2 linked regions of the Arabidopsis thaliana genome follow. The protein of the gene in region 1 interacts with the protein of each later gene in a pairwise test. Each region holds a gene or a part of one and is shown in the gene's direction. Other genes may lie near its edges.

Evidence for each region. Proteins that work in one complex are often made in the same cells at the same time.
Region 2: the proteins of RVE8 (region 1) and AT3G54500 interact in a protein complementation assay, tested with the Arabidopsis thaliana proteins (one study listed by BioGRID).

The regions. Positions count from the first base shown.
Region 1 is NC_003074.8:2,944,211-2,949,538, forward strand, and holds RVE8 (Homeodomain-like superfamily protein), read left to right. Parts: upstream 1-2,028; 5' UTR 2,029-2,248; coding exon 2,249-2,427; exon of another isoform or gene 2,428-2,703; coding exon of another isoform or gene 2,704-2,714; coding exon 2,715-2,772; intron 2,773-2,853; coding exon 2,854-2,977; intron 2,978-3,046; coding exon 3,047-3,193; intron 3,194-3,311; coding exon 3,312-3,437; intron 3,438-3,516; coding exon 3,517-3,626; intron 3,627-3,713; coding exon 3,714-3,773; coding exon of another isoform or gene 3,774-3,806; exon of another isoform or gene 3,807-3,945; coding exon of another isoform or gene 3,946-3,967; coding exon 3,968-4,060; 3' UTR 4,061-4,086; exon of another isoform or gene 4,087-4,359; 3' UTR 4,360-4,807; downstream 4,808-5,328. Other genes in the region: AT3G09590 (CAP (Cysteine-rich secretory proteins, Antigen 5, and Pathogenesis-related 1 protein) superfamily protein), read left to right, coding at 743-1,303; AT3G09620 (P-loop containing nucleoside triphosphate hydrolases superfamily protein), read right to left, coding at 4,942-5,328. UniProt on the Arabidopsis thaliana protein: Transcriptional activator of evening element (EE)-containing clock-controlled genes. Forms a negative feedback loop with APRR5. Regulates the pattern of histone H3 acetylation of the TOC1 promoter.
Region 2 is NC_003074.8:20,175,249-20,180,633, reverse strand, and holds AT3G54500 (agglutinin-like protein), read left to right. Parts: upstream 1-1,606; 5' UTR 1,607-1,896; coding exon 1,897-1,920; exon of another isoform or gene 1,921-2,142; coding exon 2,143-2,699; exon of another isoform or gene 2,700-2,929; coding exon of another isoform or gene 2,930-2,943; coding exon 2,944-3,226; intron 3,227-3,407; coding exon 3,408-4,106; intron 4,107-4,176; coding exon 4,177-4,328; intron 4,329-4,514; coding exon 4,515-4,842; downstream 4,843-5,385. Other genes in the region: AT3G54510 (Early-responsive to dehydration stress protein (ERD4)), read right to left, coding at 3-295; RPB5E (RNA polymerase II fifth largest subunit, E), read right to left, coding at 5,337-5,385. UniProt on the Arabidopsis thaliana protein: Transcriptional coactivator necessary for expression of the clock genes PRR5 and TOC1. Antagonizes REV8 function in the regulation of anthocyanin accumulation. Involved in red light input to the clock. Activates clock-controlled genes with afternoon peak.

The DNA.
Region 1 (5,328 bases):
ATTATGAAGACCAGAGTCCTAGTCCCAGAGAGGACCGTTGTCCTAGAGACGGATACAGCCCAAGAGACGACCTTAGTCCTGCGGAAGATGAAGACCAATGAAGAGTAGGAAGACTGGTGATTGCTTATAGGCCGTCTATTTTGGCTTATAATGATTTTAAATAAGTGTAATGGATTTTGTTGCTTAATACTTCGTCTGCTATCTTGTTTTAAATATTTAAGAAAATAAAACGACTTTCGGGATTGTCTTTTTCTTTCTGTTCCATGTCTTCTTAACTGCTATGAGTAAAAGAGCTCTCCCAGACTCTTCTTCTATCTCCAAAAGCTTTTATTTTTGTTTGTTTATTTTGGTACTGATAATATCTGAGTATATATATAATATAGTAGAAACAATGAGCAAAAGTCAATATGTCCGAGTGGTTAAGGAGATTGACTCGAAATCAATTGGGCTTTGCCCGCGCAGGTTCGAATCCTGCTGTTGACGGAATTGTTTTTCTTTTTAGCTTTTGTTGGGTTGTGAAAAGTATAACAACCTTAATAATTTCGTTTTTTTAATCTAAAAATATACGGTAGTTTTCTCATCATCACCAATAAGAATTGTTTGATATGAAACAACAGAATCAGGAAAATTTGTTAAAATGTCAGAAAATGGAAAAATCTCTAACTGAACAAAAGTAACAAAAAAAACTCCCTTAGAAACAGAGGAATCATGATGAGAGACAAAATTATACAGAGACGTGGAGATGTCTGTAACGTTGTCTCATCCATCATCATGTCTTCTTCTTCTCTTCCTTCTCTTTTCCGGTCATCCCTCCGTCCTCGGAACCTCCATCCCCGACGCGGTGAACACGGCGGCGCGTTTGGTAAACAGAGCGAGAAGAGCAAAACTGTCGAGAGAATTTCTACAAGCGCACAACGATGCACGTGTTTCTTCAGGCGTGCCAACGCTCGGATGGGACAGAGACCTGGCCCGATTCGCTGATAAATGGGCTAAACAACGTAAGTCCGATTGCAGTATGATACATTCAGGTGGGCCTTACGGTGAGAACATTTTCTGGCACCGGCGTAAGAAGACGTGGTCGCCGGAGAAAGTGGTGACGAGATGGTTTGAGGAAAGGTTTAACTACGACGTGAAAACAAACACGTGCGCACCGGGAAAGATGTGCGGCCATTACACGCAGATGGTGTGGAGAGAGACCACAGCCGTTGGATGCGCACGTGTGAAATGCCATAACGGTCGTGGCTATCTTGTGGTGTGTGAATATGATCCACGCGGGAATTACGAAGGTGAAAGACCATTTTGATCAAAACAGTTAAAATGAAAAAATTGTTAGAGATTCAAAATATTTTTTCTTCTTCTAATGTAATGAAGATGGTATATTATTCTTGGTCCTTACATATATACAGCCATGTATTGAAGAGGTATAAATTCAAATGGTTCGGAATCTTTTAATTTTATATATTAAAGATCAATAATAAAAAAAAACGTCGACAGCAGGGTTCGAACCTGCGCGGGCGAAGCCCAATAGATTTCAAGTCTATCTCCTTAACCACTCGGACATATCGACTTGTTGTATTTGTTTCGTAAGATTTGAATACAAAACCGAATTCTCTGTTGCCTAAATCGGAGCTTTTCATCCCTTGACTCTCTAAGACATCTGAAGCAGCTAAAGTGTTGGATGTTTCACATAACGACATGGGCGGCAAGCACCCAGTGGACACAACAAGGTACCTTTGTTCTTGGCCGCCCTCTAATTCGGGTGAAATTGGAAGAGAGGTGCTTGGTATATACTAGGATGCGTATTTGGTGCTTAGAGATTTGATGAAACTGAAGCAGTTAGATATTAGAGACAACGACCTAATATTTGCAGGTGAAGAGTTCAGCTCTTTTGTCCGCCAGGTTTTTCCAAAGCTTGTATGGCTTGATGGCCACAAACTCGCAAGTTAAAGATAAATGTTAGGCCACTTGTTTTAATTAAAGTATAAAACTCTTTCGTTTTTTTGGATTCATTTTCATGAAATCAAAAGACTACAAGTCTACACGTGCTTCAAGCTTGAGGCTCTAAATGAAGTGGTAGGAAAGAATGAAATAATAATAAAAAAAGTCAGAAAAATGGATGGTCTGAGATCAAAGTGAAACCTACTCCACATACACATCCCAACTTCTTCCCCGCCATGTGGACTTTTCTTTTTCCTACTTTCTCTCTCTGCATTCTCTCTTACACCTGTCTTTATCTGAAAAATAACCGATGAGCTCGTCGCCGTCAAGAAATCCAACGAACGCCGAAGCACCTCCGCCACCACCAACATCGACGGATGCTGTGGCAGAGGGTTCGTCTAAGAAAGTGAGGAAACCATATACCATCACCAAGTCAAGAGAGAGCTGGACAGAGGAAGAGCACGATAAGTTTCTTGAAGCACTTCAACTGTAATAATTTATCTCTGTTTCTCTGTTTTTAGAGACTTCAAATTTCTTAGTTTGCTGCTGATTTCTGAGTTTAGTTAGTTATAGACTGAACAAACAGAGGAAAGTTTATGTTACTTAGCTTAGGTCTAGTAGTAACTTAGCTATAAAAAATCTGCTTAGCTAAAAAGATCTGCTTCTTGGAGCACTTCAACTGTAATAAATTTATAGTTGTGTTGACTTTTTGAAAGTGTTATTGATGTAACTAGGACCTGATTCTGCTGATACTACTACTCCTCTATGTTCCTTAGGTTTGATCGTGACTGGAAGAAGATTGAAGATTTTGTTGGTTCAAAGACTGTGATTCAGGTTTTAAAATAGCTTACTCTGCATTTTTGGTCGCAGTTACTTTGTGGCAATGTTTTCAACTTATTTGACTTTGTACTGCAGATAAGGAGTCATGCTCAAAAATACTTTCTCAAGGTTCAGAAAAACGGGACATTAGCTCATGTGCCACCTCCTCGACCTAAGCGCAAAGCAGCTCATCCGTATCCTCAAAAGGCATCAAAGAACGGTTCGAATATTTTATAATACTTCTTAGTTTGGTTATAGAGTTGAGTTTTTAACTCACATTTTCTTGCAGCTCAAATGCCACTTCAAGTTTCCACGTCTTTTACTACTACGCGAAATGGCGACATGCCGGGATATGCTTCATGGGATGATGCCTCAATGCTGCTAAACAGAGTTATTTCACCACAACATGAACTTGCTACTCTTCGTGGAGCAGAAGGCATGCACATTTGTCTATCCTTTTTGTTTTCTTCATTTTATTGGTAGTTGTAGTAAGAATAGGTTCCATCAAAGGACGTTTCATGTGCTTATTATGGCATATAACGCCACTGATTCAGCTGATATTGGATCAAAGGGCTTATTAAATGTTAGTAGCCCTTCTACATCTGGCATGGGAAGCTCAAGCCGAACAGTATCAGGTTCTGAGATTGTAAGAAAGGCTAAACAGCCTCCAGTGCTTCACGGTAACCATCTGTGAACAATTCCATGTTTTTTCACTAACTTTTATGCATGATGGAGACTGTACTGATACTATCTTTGTAGGTGTTCCTGATTTTGCTGAAGTTTATAATTTCATTGGGAGTGTCTTTGATCCTGAAACGAGAGGCCATGTGGAAAAGCTCAAGGAAATGGATCCTATAAATTTCGAAACTGTGAGTCAAGAGTTTACAAGCTTTCAGATTAATTGGTGTTCAAGCTCTTAGCATTTCTTCACTAATCACATAGTATGGTGTTTACAGGTTCTGTTATTGATGAGAAACCTCACAGTTAACTTATCAAACCCTGATTTAGAATCCACTGTAAGTGTTAAATTTGCGATAAAAGATTTGTGATGACCAACTTTCTCAGAGTCTGAAACTATTTCACTCTCAACCAATGAGTTGGAGGCACTTCTTTTATGATCTTTGGTTCCTTACATTGAAATGAGTTTTTTTGCGCTTGCGTGATCAAATTTAATCTAACCTCAGCTAGTCGGATTGTAATGATGCTGCAGAGGAAAGTCCTCTTATCATATGACAACGTGACGACCGAGCTCCCAAGCGTTGTTTCCCTTGTCAAGAACTCAACAAGCGACAAATCAGCATAACAAAAATATGAGCCATCAGCTAGCAAGTAAGTGTTTTTCCCTCTTTTTCCTCTGACCTTTTAAATTCAGTACAAGAAAACATTTCACTACTATTAGAAGTCACATGAGTTCATGGTTAGATATAAGTCTAGTGACAGTTCTCTAACTCTAAGGTTTGCAATAAGAGTTCTATAGTTAGTCACAGTCTGGGATACAAGATATATACACTACGGTATTTTGAGTATTAGCACCAGTTCAGGCTTCTTGCAAACTTTGTAAAGTCTTGCATAAGAGTTATATGGTTCTCACCGTATTGGCAGGTTTACTCATTGGTTTCCCATGTTTAATAAACTTTGGTGTTATACGTCACTGGAATCACAATCGTGTCACTGCATCATCATGTGGGAATTGTGTAAAAGGTCTTTGTTGTTTTGAGGAGAAACATAAGCCAAGTTTTGAAGCTATAGGGGGCTTCCGCAGATTTTGACCAGGACTAGTTGGGTGAATGGTAGGTATAATATATGTAAGGGGTTTTTCTACTAGTTGCAAGACAGCCTCATTCTCATCCACCCGTTACTCTTGTACTAAAATCTCGTCATAACTTTTTGTTCAGTTGTTGTGTATTTGTGTAAAAGATAAGTCCTAGGACTGAGTGTAATGGTTCAAGATCAGTGTTAAGTAAATGACGGCAACTCTATTGTTTTAAAGTTGACAGCTTTCTTTATATATTATGGGGTTTGATTCAGAATTTTGTTTTTAATAAGGAAACCAAGTCAAGTCTATAAAAAGATTTTGCAATTGTGGAGAGATTGTATGTATTCAAGTATTCAACAACATCAATCAATACTTACTAGTTTTCTGAATAATTTTTAAAAAATCCTAGAATCAAAAACCTCATGATTTTATAAAACAGAGTATCTGCCTGATTGTGCTCCTCCAGGAAGGGAGAAGGTTTGGTTAGTTATGTCTTCAAGAACACGCTTGAGTTCAGCTTTCGCTGTCTTAACAGATATTTCGGTAGGCCCTTCGACGAACAAATAGAGCTTGCGTTCCTCAGGTCCCGGGATACGTCCTGCCTCATAAAACTTACCTCTAGTGGTAATGGAAGCTCCACTCCACTCTGATATTGGTCCCAGCGTTTCTTTGTGGGTAACTTTCCACCGAGCATTCTGTGGGAAATCATTGATTTCCAATTCTGCTTCATAGTGTTCAGGTATCGCATCAGCTTGAATCTTTGCAAGGTACTGTTGCACGTTAGCAGCAGCAATCATGGCTGCAACGCGGCCTGC
Region 2 (5,385 bases), about 17 Mb from region 1:
ACCCGAATTTGAAGAGCCTGATGAGGACGAGAGCATCAAGGCCGTGGCGGCTGAGGATCTCGTCCTCGGGGACACGGAAGGCGCGTGGGATCCACGCAACGGAAGGAAGGAAACGAGGGAGGCAAAGGGATGAGTGTAGAGACAGAGGACGGTGGTGGTGGCGATCGGAGAGGCGGCGAGCATAGTATACGACGGCGTTACGGGGCTGCTTCTTGAGGACGGAGAAGAGCCAGAGTGCAACGACGGCGAGTCCTATGTTGATCGACGCCGACGCTAACAAGCTTTCTGGCGTCATATTTTTTCTTTTCTCTGACTATGGGAAACAGAGTCACATGATGTCATGTCATGTGGCCCTTCTTGTGCTGCATGTAAACAGAAAGCCTCCACGCCGCAATTGTCTCCTTGTTTTTTTATTACACCTCGACCAAAATAGCAGTGTGATAATTGAATTTTTGCATCTCCCTGAAAAGGAAATTTCTAGTACTACTAAATTTGTTTTACAACAAAATGTTATTTTTGTAAATTAGAATCACTAAAGTGTTGTACTTAAAAATTGTTGAATTGGTGGGAAAAAATGCTTGGAATCATTACTTTCAGTGAATTTGTGGACTTTGATGAACGAAAGGAATTTGTTTAGTGGCTAAATTGGTAGATTTAAAAGACAAGATCATCACTCTTTTTTATGTTAATATTTTTATTTTATTTTGTATACAACATAATTTTTTTCTTGTACCAGTTTCTTAGAAACATATTCTCTAGCGTCTTTCATGATTGTAGATCACTAAAATCTTGCGCATGTAACAAGTACAAATTTATCAAGTCAGCAATAACGGGTTTGTAGCACATTTCTATTTTTGATATATACACTAATTTGCTTTTGTCTCAGACTCACTCTATCTATGATCTATCACAAGCTAGCAACAATGTTTACTGCTTAATATGTGTCTAACGTAACTCGTGATCATTTCTGAAACAAGAGTAACCCCTACCAACAATTCGTTTTAATCTCGAAATACAAAGTACAAACACAAGATAAACAAACGCATAAACAATCGAGGCACAAAGCCTATTAACAAGGTCTGAAAATTTTCAACCTAGTCATCAAGGACGAAAACGATTTCATTATAATTGAAAAATAAACACACTTATTAAAAAATATATATCAATTGCAACCATTTATATCCACTGTTTCGTTATGAACTGTTCAGGATAACGCATTAGTTCCTTTTCAATAAACTGATCCAAGCAAATACTTTTGAAAAAGTGGATATCAATGAAAGCTAAATTAGTTAAAACATATAAGATAAAAATTGTGGTCGCTATGAACTCAAACCCCACCAAATCTAAAAGTTGAACACTGGTTCCACTCTTTTAAAAACATATTTACCCAATTGTGTGTCTCTTCTTTTCTCGAACACTAATCCGATATAACATGAAAATATTAAAAAAACGTCAACAAAAGACCACAGCCAGGGAAAGTCAAAATGAGCTGTCATGGAATCAAGTCGTGTTTACTCTCAGCCACATGTTTAGATACGGCCTTCTCGTCTGACGTGGCAACCCGTTCTCTCTCAGCCACTCGTTTGGCACGTGACCATTTCATACAAAAAAAAACTCTTTTTTCTTTTTTCCACTGTAACTCCTTTCTCTTCCCATATCCTTTGAGCACGAAGGAGGATTCTGCTGAATCAAGGTTTTTCAAAGCTTGTTGCTTTTTCAGTTTAATATTCTTTTATTTATCGTTTTTTCCACTTTATTATTGTGTGTGGATTTACGTTATCCGATTTGTTGATCTTGTTGTTTTTTCCTGGATTTTTTTCGTTGTGGAGCTGGCGATGTGTGGAGCAATCAGGGAGCTTGATTTTGGGTCTGTGATTCGATTTTGTTTCTCCAGTCATGTTTGATTGGGAAGAAGAAGAGGTAAGTTTCTTCTGTTGCTATATATACGAATTTTTATGTGGAATCAGTATAATTCTGTTTTCTTATGGATTTGGTTAACGATCAGGTTTTGAATCACTCATCCTGTAATTTATCAGTCTCTAGTATCATTGGTTCTTAAATATTTTAGTTTTGGTGGCTTGTTGTTAATACTTGCTTTGTGCCTGATCCCTACTTGTTTTATGGTCTTAACCTACTTTTCAGCTTACTAATATGATATGGGGTGATGATGCTGAGACAGGCGACCATATTGTGCCTTTTAAAGTCAGAAGTGAACAACTTAACAAAAAGGAACAGATTGAGGAATCTAAGACAGCTGAGCAAAAGATAACTGGGACTAAAATTGACCTCCATGATAAAAATTTGGGGAGCAGTTCGAGCCATAATGTTGATGAGGGGCTTCCTCAGCCAGATTTCTGTATGAGCTCATGGCCTGACACGTCGCTAACTAATGCTACAAAGGTTGATCAAGATTTGAGTGCGACTGAACTTTCAAAATGCTTAGCTGAGCCAGTCAGATATGATTCAACAAGAGGTGGTGCGTTTCTCTTGAAACAGTCATGTTTTACTTGGGTACGTTCTTTCCAATCTAATCATTTTAAAAGTTGTGTGCTCACTCTGTTTTTACCAGAGAAAACGTCTGAACTTGGGAAAGGCCCTGATATTTTTCATAGCTCTGATGAGAGTAAAGAGCAAGGTGATTTTGATGACTACAGCTGGGCCAACATTGGTAGTTTTGATGATCTTGATCGAATGTTCAGGTAAAACGACTTCTCATCCTCACTGTGCTAGGCGGTAACTTTTCAATGACATACTCCTTTTCTACCATGTATAAAATGTGTTATTTACTGACTTGATTTCGTCTTAGAACTATAAGATACCAGATGTGAATATGGTGGAAAGGTGTAATAATGAAAAAAATACTAGCTCCTTATTTCTTGTGTCCAATTTGTTTCATGCACATTGGCCTCTAACACAATATCCTCACAAGTGATGGTTTTGCAGCAATGATGTCCCTATATTTGGTGATGGCAGTCTCAGCGGTGGTGATGAGTTATGGTCATCTTCTAAAGATGTATCCAATAGCCCAAAATCATTATCATCAATGTTGGACTCTCAAGATCTAGGATTGGATATTAGAACTGAGTTTGAGCAACAAGAGAACCAGCAATTTCCATTGACTGGAAAAGCCAATGGTCTGTCATCCCAAAGTGTCCCAAGTGTACGTGTAACTCTTAAGGCTGACCAATATCGTGAGCATAAGGGTCAACCCTCAGTTGAGGACCAGGTACTATGCGTAGCAGACTGCTGGTTATTGCTCACACGTTTATGATAAATTGAATGAAAGTATGTACCTAGTTTCTGCCAATGTGGATCTGTAGCATGAACTATGTCGTCAAATTCTTATGCATTCTCATTTGTACAGCTCCACTGAGCCTTTTTCGTTTCATTTTCCTTTTTCTGACCAGCCATATCAACAAAATAAAATGATGAAGTTTTCGAAAATGCCTGGGACTTCTGAGGCAAGGCCCTTTCAAGAGCTGTACGGTCAGAGGATTCCATTTAGTAATTCAGCTGGAAAATGTGTAAATCAGTTGGCACCGCCACAATCGTCTCTGATGGCTGTTAATCTCCTGAGTGAGTCTGAGGGGTCTGGGACATCACACTATTCACATATGCCAAACCAATACATGGCTAATTCTGCTTTTGGTAATCTTGCAAATCCATATTCTAGTGTGCCTGTAATTTCGGCCGTCCAACATCCTGATGTTAGGAATCAGTTGATGCATCCTTCCTACAATCCTGCTACTGCTACCTCAGTAAACATGGCAACAGATGCCTCTGCACGGCCTTCAACAATGACACCACAGGAAAAACTAGAAAAACTTAGACGCAGACAGCAAATGCAGGCAATGCTTGCCATTCAGAGACAACAGCAGCAATTTTCTCATCAGGTGCCTGTAGCAGATCAATCCATTACTCAAAACTGTCTCCAAGATATTCCACTCCAGCTTGTCGACAAAACTAATCTCCAAGGGCTAACTGCAATGCCTTCCTTTGATCCTAGTTCATCTTTGGAACAAGATGATTCTGGCAAATTTGCTGCTGCTGTTGATAATTCAGCAGAATTCGCAGTTCTTTATCGGCTTCAGGATGTTGTAGCAAAGGTACTCAAATGGTTGATTGACTTGTTATGTTTGTGTTGGGAGTAAACTAATACTCTTTATTGACCTGCAGTTGGATATGGGAACACGGACTTGTATACGGGATAGCTTATTCCGGTTGGCTGGTAGTGCAGCTCAGAGACATTACACTAGTGATACATCCCACAGTAACAAGACTAGCCAGGATGACCAGGAAGTCATTCCCAGAGAAGAATCCAGATATAGGTAAGCAAATTTATGCGTATTATTCAATATGGTTAACTTCGTACTTAGACAATGTAAACTAGTAAAACTACAAGCATACTTTTTCGTAAATGGGGGTTAACCTTTTTAATAAATGCTACCGAGTTCATCATCACTATCAATCAAATTGTGGTTTACATAACTAGCTTTTGTATTTGATATTTACAGATATGCTGGGATGCCAGATACAGAAGCAGTGACCAACCCCACAGACAGAACTGTGGCTCATTTGCTCTTTCATAGGCCTTTTGATATGTTGGCGGCAAAGCGAATGGAAGGACCAGAATCACCCGCTTCTTCGAAGATGGGAACTGAAGAAAAAGGGAATTTTCCTAAATGCAGCATACGAGAGACTCACTTAACTAAGCAGAAAGCTCAAAAGGAAGAAGGACCTGCAGATTCACTTGCTTTGGGGAATGCACCCAACTCTGGATCTAGTAGTACTGTTGGTGAGAGGGTTGTTGAAGCATCCCAAGGAAACAAAAGAAAATTGTGAAATTTAGAAGGTTGTTATTTCCATACTATAACTCTATAAATCGTTTCCATGCCCTTTTGTATACGTGCATAGAGCTTGTATACAGATTGTAACTAATACGCAGGTGTTGCTTTTGCTTTCAATCAGTTTAGGTTGCCGTGTTAGAGAGGAGCTTTGGGTATTTCTGCAGACTAGACAGCATCTTTCTGCGTCTCTTGAAACAATCTCCTGACTGCTCCTTTCTTGTGAAGCTCTTATTCTTGTAATTAGATTTTTTTTTTTTTGTTACTTTTCGAAAACCTCTTTTGTTATACGTATCTCCATGACAACTACATTTTGGAAAACGTGTAGTTTGCAATGTTTTTCCCCCATTCGAAACCAGATTCAATCTCTTAATACAATTGTAAGCACACACCAAGGACACATAAAGTACTGTTTTGAGGAGAAGAAATAGGTAACAGGAGTGTCTTAGTTAATCATAGAGTAGCTGCAACGAATTTGCCTTTCTTCAGAGTTCAGATGATGCATCGGTATGTCACAAAATCCCCAACAGGCTCTTTACTG